4 separate regions of the Mus musculus genome follow, and regions 2, 3 and 4 are each reported to be linked to region 1. The links are microRNA targets in miRTarBase. Many come from high-throughput screens and were not tested one by one. Region 1 holds a microRNA gene; each other region holds the end of a gene's coding sequence. Distances are between the middles of the regions.

The links. The annotated mature microRNA mmu-miR-34b-5p reads AGGCAGUGUAAUUAGCUGAUUGU and lies in region 1 at 1,415-1,437, opposite strand. An mRNA with a match to its seed (bases 2 to 7 or 8) in the 3' UTR can be bound and repressed. Matches are read on the target gene's strand: a 7mer-m8 pairs with bases 2 to 8, a 7mer-A1 pairs with bases 2 to 7 and ends in A, and an 8mer does both.
Region 2: the mRNA of Adcy1 is a reported target of mmu-miR-34b-5p. The part of its 3' UTR that is shown has no 7-base or 8-base seed match.
Region 3: the mRNA of Tmod2 is a reported target of mmu-miR-34b-5p. The part of its 3' UTR that is shown has no 7-base or 8-base seed match.
Region 4: the mRNA of Ptpru is a reported target of mmu-miR-34b-5p. Seed matches in the 3' UTR shown: 7mer-m8 at 2,322-2,328.

What each region holds. Positions count from the first base shown.
Region 1 is chr9:51,102,196-51,105,289 of GRCm38, forward strand. It overlaps Mir34b (microRNA 34b), which reads right to left and starts at 1,450; the gene lies at 1,367-1,450. Mir34c (microRNA 34c) reads right to left here and starts at 915; the gene lies at 839-915. It also overlaps a transcript of Hoatz not described here and a transcript of Btg4 not described here.
Region 2 is chr11:7,169,521-7,172,614 of GRCm38, forward strand. It overlaps Adcy1 (adenylate cyclase 1), which reads left to right. Exons shown (of 20, transcript NM_009622.2): 20 at 1-3,094. The coding sequence ends at 195. Among named protein-coding and RNA genes, the nearest start is that of Ccdc201, 18 kb to the right of the region's middle.
Region 3 is chr9:75,571,204-75,574,297 of GRCm38, forward strand. It overlaps Tmod2 (tropomodulin 2), which reads right to left. Exons shown (of 10, transcript NM_016711.3): 10 at 1-2,920. The coding sequence ends at 2,886. Among named protein-coding and RNA genes, the nearest start is that of Tmod3, 13 kb to the left of the region's middle.
Region 4 is chr4:131,766,683-131,769,776 of GRCm38, forward strand. Ptpru (protein tyrosine phosphatase, receptor type, U) reads right to left here. Exons shown (of 31, transcript NM_001083119.2): 30 at 3,071-3,094; 31 at 1,775-2,878. The coding sequence ends at 2,816. Among named protein-coding and RNA genes, the nearest start is that of Gm52680, 31 kb to the right of the region's middle.

The sequences.
Region 1 (3,094 bases):
ACTGTCTCTTAGATCCTCAGCCAGCGTCTCCTCCTCCCCCAGATAGCCCAATAATGTGAGCTTTAAAGAGCGCCTTCCTCTTTTGGACAAGATTGCCAAGGCTTCGCACTCTTACCTCTGGGGAAATTCTCAGGTTTGCATTGATACATCTGCATAAAGCGCTAATCTAGAACTGGGCCGAGAAGTACCGGTGGATACAGCTTGTGTGATTTAAAACCTCTCAAATCTTTTATTACAGATATTAGGAAACCAGCTGGTTTTAAATCGTGTTCACTAATTATTCCCACGAAAAGTTGCCTAGAACGCAACTGTTAATACCTTAAAAAATATACCTGGTTAAGTGGGCTGAGTTCCCTTGCCCCATGGAAAATTATGAAAACATTTAACGTTCCCTTCCAGGTCACAATCATGTGTGAGACGTTTCCCTGGAGATTTTGTCTGTATAGCAACTAACCATTTAATGACTTTACGGGGTTGACAGGAGCTGAAATGGAGATCCTAAAGCCAGTTTTTGGAAAGGAAATGAACACGATTGCTGAGATTTTCGTGGCGCTTTATTTTTTAGAGTGTTATTAATATGTCAGGCAAAGTCCAAAGATTTATAATCACAAGTCAATATAATGACCAAATCAGCTAAGGGATAATTTCTATTTTTCCAATATATCTAAAAATCACAAAAAATGTACCCCACACAAATTGATACATTGTATACTTAGCAGCTAAGGGCTAGCGGTTCCCCCCCCCCCCCCAAACCACTAATAGTATGGTAAGAATATTTCCCTATGGCTCTGTCCTCACCAAAATGACGATTCACAGGAGGCTCAGTCGGAGGAATTTCAGTCTTTTTACCTGGCTGTGTGGTTAGTGATTGGTACTATTAGCAATCAGCTAACTACACTGCCTAGTAACTAGACTCAGAAAAAAGCATGCAGTCTTTAGCTGGTGCTCTCAGACTTTGGTGTGACCAGAGCAAATCGTCAGCCAAGCTGTGGTTGACTCTAGTCGCTGCCTTGGTGATAGCTTTCTCAGAAGTGGAAATCAGGCAGTGAATCACAGCAGCAGCAGGAACTGTTCTGGGGGGGGGGGGGGGGGGGCTCTTCCTGGCCTTTTTTTTTTTTTTTTTTTTTATGTTAAGGCCGGTGTATACCGATTCTCTTTACACATCACTGAACCGTTTTTGCTCTGGCTCTTACACACAGGTAGCCGAACGGTCCCTAAAGGAGGCCGCCGGTCTCCGAGGGTTACTTGCACTTAGACCTCGTGCTCCCGGCCCTTTGCTGACGCATCCTGGCTCCGGCCTCGGCTTTCTGCGGAGTCAGTGGGGCTGCAGCGCTGGCTTCTCCTCCCGCGGGCGGCGGGTGATGCTGTGCCTTGTTTTGATGGCAGTGGAGTTAGTGATTGTCAGCACCGCACTACAATCAGCTAATTACACTGCCTACAAACCGAGCACCGGGCGCCCGCCACTGCAGCTCCCGAGGGTCGGGCCCCTCGCCCCCTTTCGCCACGGTCGACAGGCGAGGGCGGCGGAGCGAGAGGTGCCTCAGGCTCCCGAGGCCCCTCCACACCCAGCAGGGCCGCGCGCGACCCCAGGTGAACCCCCAGGCGCTGAGGCCCCCTGTCCCCGCCGTCCCCCCCGAGACCCCCGACTCAGCCCGGACCCCAGGGCATCCGGCCCGAGTCCTTCTTCCCGCAAGCCGGGTCTGACCCGCCTCCAACAACTTCTTCACGGCTTCCAGACCCAAGTCTAGAGCCGGTTCTGTCCAGCCCGCGCGCCCCGCAGCTCCTACTGGCCGAGTGACCGTGGCTCAGCGACCAACCGCCCTTGGAACCCCGAGGCCGAGGGGGCGGGGCGAGTGGGGGAGGGGTGGCAGAAGCTACCAGAAGGGGCAATGGGAGGGCTCCTGCAGAGCCTCCTGGGAAGGGGCCGGGGAGATGGAGAGACAGATTCTTGAGAAGTTTATCTTCACAGTGTAGTTACTGCTACATCGAAGAAAGAAGCGCAGAGACCTACATCCATCTCTCCTTCCCAATATATTGCCCAAGAAGCCCCAGGCCTCCTCACTGTTCATATGCCCATTCTCAGAAACCGCTTCCCAGGCGTCTCATCTGGAGCCTTCCTGCCTGAGCAGGCCTGGGCACTCATACCTGCAGGATTGCCCTTGCCTGTACCCAAGTTCTTTCTTAGGACTACCTCTTACAGGGCCATACAGTGAAGTGTGGGCCACTCTTCTGGTCAAACATTGAACCAACACCCTTGTTGGTAGGTCAAAGTTGTGGCCCTTATAAGATCAAAGACACAGTTTTGATGATCTCCCCGTGAGCCTTGAGGATATCTAGTCTCACTTTGGGCTCCTGTTTTATTTAAATGTTACAAATCCAGCACCTAACAGGCGTTTGTCTTACTACCCATCAGACAGTCTAGGTGGTAACAAAATGTGAACACATTATTTATTACTCCAGACAGTATAAAGTTGCTAAACTGATAGATTTTCCTAATAGAAAAAAACAGGTATGGGTGGGGGTGGGAGGTGTGCCAACAAGAGCTGACAGACACCATCATGGAGGAGGTGAGAGTTCAGGTAGATCCTTGAAGCAAGGGTAGATTTGGACATTAAGGATGAGGTCTGTAGAAGCCCGAGAAGCCATATCTTCTGTCAGTTACATTCCCCTTGTTTTTGCTATTTTATATCTGATAACGGGGTGCGTGTTTGTGTATATTGGGAATAGGAGGCGCTGAGGGGACAGCATTTCTGCGCCATCTTCACTAATATTTCTTTCCTTTAGTCTTTCCTCTCCTTTCCTTTAATTAATTGAGCCCAGAGAGGATATACAGTATTCTCTGATTGCAAACTTTGTGGAATTCAGTAGGAAGTAGCCGTCCCAGACTGTGGTCTTCCTGTATGCTGTATGACACCCATTTGTATTGATCCAACAGTCTTGCAGTCTACAAAGGGACATTTCTTAGCTATACACTGATACCTGTAAGCCCAGCAAATGGTCTTGTAGATGCCACTAATTACATGAATATATGCCAATCATCAGGAACATTCAACACAAATTCCAAGTGGAAACCATTAAAACCCAAGAACTTCCC
Region 2 (3,094 bases), not on the chromosome of region 1:
GGCAGGACTGATGGAAACAGTTCCCACGGCAGGACCTTTCGCTTGGAACGAAGGATGTGTCCTTATGGGAGAGGCGGAGGCCAGGCCAGACGGCCCCCACTGTGTCCCGCGGCTGGACCCCCAGTCAGACCAGGGCTCCCTCCAGCCCCCACTAGCCAGTACCTGTCATCCACAGCAGCAGGGAAGGAAGCCTAGTGGAGCCCATGGGCCACTGGAGATGCATGCAAGGCAAGAATGCTCCAGGGTGTCACAAGCCACCATGGCTCTAGCCAGGACCAGACAGAGGAGCCAAGTGGCTGGGCTGGAGGAGAAGCATTGTCTGAGTGTGGCCTGAGGCCAATGGGAAATGTGCCCAAGCCACCCCTTGGGGCACACTGAGCTCTGTCTCTTCCTAATGACCTGGTTATGCCTGGCTAGTGTTGCCATAGGTGGCGGGACCTTGGGAGTATCTTCCATGGTCACAGCAAAAGCTATGGAGGTCAAGCTGGCAGAGGAGCCCACCATGACTGAGCCCCAAGTCAACTGGCTTATGGGTGGCTCCAGCCCTGGTAAGCCCTGGCTTATGGGTGGCTCTAGCCCTGGTAGGTCCTGGCTTATGGGTGGCTCCAGCCCTGGTAAGCCCTGGCTTATGGATGGCTCTAGCCCTGGTAGGTCCTGGCTTATGGGTAACTCCAAGCCTGGGTAGCAGTTTCAAGTATGAGTGCCAGACTGGGAAGTTGGCCCCGCTGGGCAGGGCCATGACAGTTGAGCTGTTCATACCATGGGCACAGCAAAGAGCTGGTCAGGTCTTGGTCAGGGCAGTATGGGAAGAATTGAAAAGACACCTCTTACTGCATGAAGAGCGGGGTTGCTGGCTTTCCCCAAGAGTAGGCTCTTGCTAACAGCCAGAGGCAGGTCTTCTGGAATTCTCGGGAGGCCCTACAGCCCCACTTCTGATCTCCTGGCCCGTACATTCTCTTCCAACCCCTCCTGGCTGCTGGCTTCTGACTGCTGCGACAGTGGGCCCTCCTCTTCCTGTGCCATGGCTGCACATTCAGAGAGGAGGGGTGTGTGCTGTCTTCTCTGTGGTGTCTTGGACGCTGTAAGTCTAACAAGAATCAAGCCTTCGTTTATGCTAAGAGCGATTGACCCACTATACCCACGAGTGCTCTCCTTGCTGGAAGACATCCTCTCCTTGGCCTAACCAGCTCTCCTCTTGGTGGTTTCAGAGTCGGCACAGTGTGCATTCCTGAGTCTAGGTGTGGTGTCCCTGCTCCAGGGTGATGGGAAAGAGTGGCCCTGTTGACTGACACCTGGGACCTCCCACCTGTGTGTCCCAGTAACTGCAACTGTGAGGAAATCCCGTTAGGGTACAGGATTCTGGAGGAGTTGGTAGGAAGCAACTGGCTGGAAATAGCGGGATGAAGCCTGGCTTTTGAAGATACTCAGTTTCAATACAGGAAGGGAGGCAGCTTGAAGCAGGGCAGGTGGGCATAAGCCCTGCCTGATCTTGTCTGTGGAGGCCCATTTCCTCACGGCTCCCCAAGAGCTTGCCCCCTTCCAAGGGTCCTATCTTCTTAGAATAGGGCAGAGCAAAGCCTAGTTTTCCCCGGCAGGGTGCATATGTGGTGTTCTGGATTCAGCTCTGGTTCAAGTGTGTGGCTTTGTTGGTGCCTGGGTAATTTTCCAGGTCAGCCAGCGCCCGTTCCTGGGACACTCAGCTGAGTCTAGACTCAGGTTACCTGTGGGTAGGAAGAAAACTTTCAGCAAGGGAGAGCTGGAGGCTGCATGCCAAGTCTCCAAGTCTTTGAGGCTGCACCTCAGGTGCCCTAGGGCCGGGTGGGGCAGCTGTGAAGATTGCACATTCTCTGTGGCCAGGGATGGAGCTTGTGGGTGGTGGTAAGGGTATCATCTAGCACCTTCTGCAGAGGAACTCTGACCCATGCCCACCCTGCTTTGTTGCCTTTCTGATGATATCAGGTAGCACGGCCTGGGCATTGTCGGCTGCCTTTCTGTCAGCCCACTGTGGCTAGAACCCAGAGCCAGGGCCAGACTGACTTCAGCACTCCACTGCAGCCTTCAGGGTTGGAGAGCAGGTAGCTTCATCGTCCTCCGGTGGTCATGTCTGGTTCCTGAGGCGTGGTATTTTGTTGTAACAGTGTTGGGGGAGAATGCTGGCTCCCAGAGAGTTGAGGGCAGCAGGACAGGCTTTTGGTTTCTCCCATGGCCCTGAAGACCATCTTAAGATTGCACTTATAAGAAAGATTCAGGTTGTTGGGGCGCTCTGAGAAGGGGCAGATTCCTCTGAGCCAGAACCTAGGTAGGCATGCGAGCACTCTTTCTTTGTGGCTCCTGCCTCCTGCCCGTCCCCAGGTGTTCCTATCCTTGGGACAAATGGCTTTTCCTCATGGGGCTCTTTTGCACTAGGAATTTCTCACCTCGTCTGTCTGTCTTGCAGTCAGCTCAGCCAGGAGCACCCAGAGCAAGTGAGTATATGGTGACTTTGGCTGAGGGCTGTGGCACTGTCCCTGGCCTTCCAGGCCACTGAGGAGGGTAGAGAACCTCTCACACAGCCTGGAGTTCCTCAGAGTGGCTTCTAGGCACCCAGAACTAGTGCCTCTCTGGCTGATCAGATGAGGGACAGAAGAGTGGTTCTCAAAGATGCCCACATGACAGCCCCAGGTCCTGTGTGTCCTTTGCCACAGTGGAGGACCTTGACAAGGGGACTTAGGGTAGGTAGGCCTGAAGGATTGAGAAAGGATTGAGAAAGTCTACACCAATGGGTTTAGTGTGGACACAGGGCCCCTCAGAAGTGGACAGAAAGATGCCCAGGACTGAGTCTCTGTTGCTGACCTGAAGATGAGGACATGAAATACATTGAAGAGACTTAGGAGGACAGCACAGCTCCAGCCAGCAAAGAAGCCAGGATGTCACGCACGCCCATAACCACAAGGAGCTGAAACTGGCCAAAGCCTGAGTATACAGCAGGCAGACCATCAGAGCCATGAGGGAGGAGGCCAGCCAGTGGCCCCTGGATCTGACCTATATGACGCTGAGCAGAGCCAGCCTAGGTCGATAACACTGCAATCACGCATGCGTGTGTCAAACCGAGGCC
Region 3 (3,094 bases), 24 Mb from region 1:
CTATAGCACAGCGGTCTGTATGCCATACAGGCACAACAGACGTAAAGAATCTCAAGAGCATAGTTTTGCCTTTACTATCATCGATTTCACTGTAAGTACAAGCCACTTCATGTTCAAGTTGAGGGAGGGGTCTCAGGTAGCAGGCTGGCTTCAGACTTTCTGTGTAGCCAACACTGATCTTGCGTCCACTCCAAGTGCTAGGATCACTAGGGCATGCTACCACACCTTAATTTTTAGCAGGGCAATTTTGAGCAAGAATTTAAAGAATTCTTGAAAACTGAACAAACCAGCAAACCTATACAAACTGGCTTCAATACCACACCCAAGTGGGTGAGAAGGAAGGAAAGATCAGATTAAGGGATAAAACAAAACAAATACATTTTTAGATTGACAGGGAGATAAAGTATTAAGTTAAAGCACTTGGGGGTGACTCAAAAAATGTCAGAATACCCTATTTATTATGTCCTGAAGAGTATAAAAATGAGCCAAGAAAATGAGGTGTGTCTGAGAATTTTTGCTTTAGCTGTGGTTATTTATAGCACAGTAAGTGTTCAGTTTCTCCCTCTAAGTGTCCAGTTTTTTTTCCCAAGGTTCCTGACTCCAAGTTCTTTCTTGTCTGATAGTTTCCCATCACCTTTATAGGACTTAGAGCAGTGGTTCTCAACCTTCTTACTGCTTTTAATACAGTTCCTCATGTTGTGGTGACCCCCAACCATACATTTATCTCATTGCTACTTCATGACTGTAATTTTACTACTGTTTTGAGTTGTAATGTAAATATCTGTGTTTTCCAATAATCTTAAGTGACCTCCATGAAAGAGTTATTCAACCTCCAAAGGGATTGTGACCCACAGGTTGAGAACCACTGACTTAGCGACATAGAGAGAAGGGAAACAAGAAGGATGCTTTGTCATGAAAGGAGAGGAAAAGGAAGGACAAGAGATGCTAGACAGGATCTTCATTGTCAACTTGATGGGATTTGGAATCACCTACGGTGTTACCAGAGAAGTTTAACCAAGAAGAGAGAACTCACCCTGAATGTGGGGAGCACCATCCCATAGGCTGGAACTCCAGACTAAATAAAAAGGGGGGAAAGGAAAGTGGGCGGAGCCCCAGCATTCATCTCTCTTTGCTTCCTGTCTGTGACAGTGATGTGACAACTGTCTCATCCTCCTGCTGCTATCCTTCTCTGCCACAGTTGGTGGCAACCTAAAACTGTGAGCCAAGATGAATCCCCCTTTTCCTTATATTCCTTTTGTCAGGTATTTAGTCACAGCAGTGAGAAGGGCAGCTAACACAGGTACCTGACAGTGGCTGATGTCTATGACAGGAGAGAAAAGTGATTATTTTGGGCCAAAACATTCCATCACTTGGTACCTTAAATTTGCATTATGCTGTCCAGTTGTTGTACTAGGAAATCAGTCACTTCATGGTCACTTCAGTCATGTCTTCACAGGCTCTGTCTTCGAGGTGACAAACATCTTAGCAACTGACAATTCCTTTTAACCTAATGTTTGCAAATAGCTGGATTTACTGTGATATATGACAAAAATCAATGCTTGATTTTAAGCCAAAAGGCAAAGAAGCAATTGCATGTGACAAAAAAACAAAACAAAAAACAAAAAACAAAAAAACCAAAAAACCCCCAAAAAACCTATATAATTAACCACAATGCCCACAATTTAGCTGGTGATCTGGTTATGCTAAAGATGAATCAACAATTGCTTTTAAAATTTGTCAAATTCATTATGTATCAGAAACTTTGATTAAGGTACCATAACTTTTAAATCTATTTTTAATCATGTGTATGTATATAGGGGGTATGTATACCTATGTGTGGATGCCCTCAGAGGCTGGAGGCATCAGAGTCCCCCGAGGATGGAGCTATACAAGTTAGCTGCTTGACACAGGTGCTGAAGCTGAACTCTGGTCTTCTGGGAAAGCAGCAAGCACTCTTAACTGCTGAGCCAGCTCTCCAGCTCCCAAGACGCTGTTATTGTTATTTTATGTGGGAATGTACTATTTTGAAATTTTCTTTTGGTTAAACTTTAAAAAATTTCCCATCATACCTGGAAAGTCTTTCAACGGCTTTGTAAATAATTACCTATTAGAGAATCATTTTAAATATAATTTGGGTTGGAGATGTAGCTCAGGAGTAGAGTGCTTGCCTAGCACACAGGGTTCTGGATACAATTCCCAGGACCACATACCTTAACAAATATGTTTCATTCATGTTTAACAGTAAGTAAAGGTAAGTGTGTGACTTGTTAATATACTCACGGGGCACTAAACAGTCCCTTTGCCAGTGCTACGTTAAAGTGCTTTCTAAGGAAGATCCCACTGACCATCTATCTATCAGTTGGGCATGTGCATGTAGAGACACTATTTTTTTTTTTTTCTGAAATTAACGGAGAATTTGTGAAAGCTTGGCAATACTAACTTCTCATGTGGTCAGTAGCACACACTCCCCATGTTCCTGGCCTAGCTCAAAGCAATGCATGTAAACAGAGATAGGCCTCCACTTTGTCATCAGCTACAAACACATGCTACATGCTAAGTCCCTTCCATGACTAAAAACGGTTCACGAAAGAAAGCAAGACAAACTACAATATGAAAGTGGTTAAGATCATCTCCAGCGTTGTCACTGTCTAAGATCTGTATCACCCTACTTGTGCAAGCCACCAGGTGTGTCCAGGAGCGAGGCAAACTGCTACACATATTTCAGACAAATAATTAGCGCTAAAAAGGAGTAACAGTTAAAGTTATGATGGATATGGTTAACGGAAATGAACAGCCTTGGATCAAATGGTCCGGTGGAGAAGAGGATTTTGGGTATGTTTTTTTGGATGGCCGCACGGTGAGACTTCACCCCTTTGAGTGGGGCTTTACCTCCTGTCTCCTTCAACTCTCTTCTTTCGAACTAGGTAGGAGAGAGAGAAAGAATTAAAAAAGATGAACCAAAGGATATCCTTTAAAATCACTCTAGAGCAGAGTTCTCAGCCTTCCTAACGCTGCGACCCTTTAATATAGTTCCTCCCGCTGTGCTGACCCCCAGCCATACAACTATTTTATTGCTACTTCATAACTGTAACTT
Region 4 (3,094 bases), not on the chromosome of region 1:
TCTTGGGGATGAATAAGAACTAAGGGTTGAGGCTTACTAGTGATGTATTTGTGTGTCAATTGTACTGGCTAGTTTTGTGTCAACTTGACACAGCTGGAGTTATCACAGAGAAAGGAGCTTCAGTTGAGGAAATGCCTCCATGAGATCCAACTGTAAGGCATTTTCTCAATTAGTGATCAAGGGGGAAAGGCCCCTTGTGGGTGGGACCATCTCTAGGCTGGTAGTCTTGGGTTCTATAAGAGAGCAGGCTGAGCAAGCCAGAACAAGCAAGCCAGTAAAGAACATTCCTCCATGGCCTCTGCATCAGCTCCTGCTTCCTGACCTGCTTGAGTTCCAGTCTTGACTTCCTTAGTGATGAACAGCAGTATGGAAATGTAAGCTGAATAAACCCTTTCCTCCCCAACTTGCTTCTTGGTCATGATGTTTGTGCAGGAATAGAAACCCTGACTAAGACAGACACATATCTGAGTCCATCAGGTAAGGCTTACAGGTCAGCTCTGAATGAGACGGCTGAGCCCCCACTGTTACAACAACAGAGCTGACCTTGACCCCATCCCCTCTCTGGGGGATAGCAGACAGCCTGAGACCTCACGATGAAGCCCATTGCTTGAGGAATGGCTTCTGAAACTTAATCTTGTCAAGCCTCTAAACACACCTAGATTGAGTTAATTGAAGAGGCTGGAGTCTTGAACCAAACAAAGAGAAGAAAAGTAATTGAGACCAAAATCCATCATTTTATTTTAGGGGACAAACACACGTCCATGTGTGCCCTCACAGAAGCCAGAGGAGGACATCTGGTCTCTTCCTCTGTTGCTGACCTCATTACGTCCTCTTCCACTGACCTGAAGCTCACCATTTTGGCTAGGCTAGCCAAGGGAACTCCCAGAACTCATTTGTCTTCACTGTCCAATGCCAGAGTTATAGACATGTGTGGCCATGCCCAACTTTTATGTGGGTGCTAAGGTCTTGAACTTGGGTCCTCATGCTTGCCTAGCAAGCCACTCTTACCCATTAAGGGATTTCCTCAGCCCCTGTTCTCTGCCTCTTGACTGGAATGCAATGTGAAGAGATGGTTGAGGCCCTGCCCTCCCCCACCTCCTCCTCCCTCCTCCTCCCCCCTCCACCCGAGCCTTCCCCACTGCAATGCCTAATCCCAGTTGTCAACCTGATGCACCTGGAAAAACAGAACTTCAACTGAAGACTCCCCTCCATCACTACACTGGCCTGTGCTCCTGTCTTCAAGGAACTGGTTTTACTTAATGGTTGATGGGGGAGGGTCCAGCCCACTGTGGGCAGAACCATTCCTAGGCTGGTGGACCTGAGCTATGGAAGAAAGATGCTGAACATGAGTCTGGAAGTGAACCAATTAACAGTGTTCCTCCTTGGCTTCTGCCTCCGAGTCCTGCTCTGAGTTCCTGCCTTGGCTTCACTCATGATGGACTGCAACATGTAAGATGAAATAAACACTTTTCTGTCCACATGGCTGTTGATCCTGGTGTTTATCATCGCAACAGAAGCCAAACGAGAACACTCACTATAGTGGACTGTACCCTTGAGCTGTATCCCAGAATAACCCTGCCCTCCCTTAAGGTACTCTTGTTAAGTACTGTGTTGCAGGAACAACTTCTGCGGGAGGACTCTTGAGTGATGCCCTGGTCCATATATCTACTGTTTGGTGAATAAAAAAGCCAAAACAAGCCTAGGATCTAGGCCTCTGACCCACACTGGCCCAAGAGGCCGGGCAGGCATCCATCACACACACAGAGCCACAGGGTGGCATTCAGAGAGCACATTTATTTACAAAGCGCTTTACAAACATTACCTTACACCTCCCCACAGCCCCCTGTGAGGTAGGTCAGTAGTCATATCTACAGTTTACAGATGGGGAAATTGAGGCACGAAATGGGGGTGTGGCCTACCCCATTATAAAGAGAACTTCCCACCCTCCCATCAAAAAAATAACAAAATAACAACAACAAAAAAAGCACTGGTCCTCCATTCCAAAGTATCCCTTCTTCCTCTGTACTCTAGGAGCTGACACCAGCCCTGTTCTAGCCTGCCCCGATCCAGTGGCAGCCTCACCAAGAGCCACAGGGACCTCAACCCCAGGGGCTGTGATTCAGCCTTGTGGATTGTCACAGGCCCAAGCTGAGCAGGACTGAGCCATGGAGACCCAAAGGCCAGGGAAGAGGGAGCTGAAGTATATCATTCTGCATATACTGGGCCAGGCAGGGATGGAGCCCAGGAGGGAGGCACGGGTCCTGTTGCAGGAAAAGCTCAGAAGCAGGAGGAAAGCGAGCAAAGCACCCCAGGTCTGTAGGGGCAGTGGGATGGAGAATGGAGCTGCAGGATGCTCAGCGGGTCCCACCGGCGAGACGGGGAAGAGTCCCAGCTTCAGGACTCTCGGGGACTCAGCCCCTGCCAAGTCCCAGTGAGCCTCCACCACGTGCAGAAAGGACCATACTGGGTGCAAACCATGGGTGCTCTCTGCAGACACTCATTCATTTCTGGCCAAGGACTGTGATGGAGCAGAGGGGCCTGGCCTGGGCTCTCCAGCACTAGCTATTTTGGTCCAGGCGAGCTTCTCTGCACAGGTCTGCAGGGCCCTCTAGAGGTGGGGCTGATACAGTCTTGCAAAGCTTCTCCTTGGCCTGCAGCCTTCCCGTGGGGGTCACCAAGATGGTGCAGTGTCCGTCCGTTCCAGTGTTGTCCCTGTGGAATTATGGCTGAGCAAAGTTGGGGCCACAGGCCCTCCTCATCTGGGATGATGGGCCATGCCCTGGGTGTTCACTGGGTGCCCCAGGTCAGGCGCCTGCTATCTCAACTCCAGAGCCTCCAGGTACTCCAGGGCCACGTCGTAGCAGAAATGATACTGATCCTGAGGAAAGAGAGCACCTTGAGCTGGGGCTCCCCTCCAGAAAAAGGGGAATAAGAAAGGCATCCTAACAACCCAGGACTAGAAGGGAGGCCCAAAGTTGGGGGCCAGACAAGAGTATGTAGGTTCTGGGAAACCCTATGGGGGGTTGTTTGGGGAGTCTGAAGTGGCCGTGCCCGGGACACGGCTCCTCACCATGGTCTCCACCATATTGGGCTT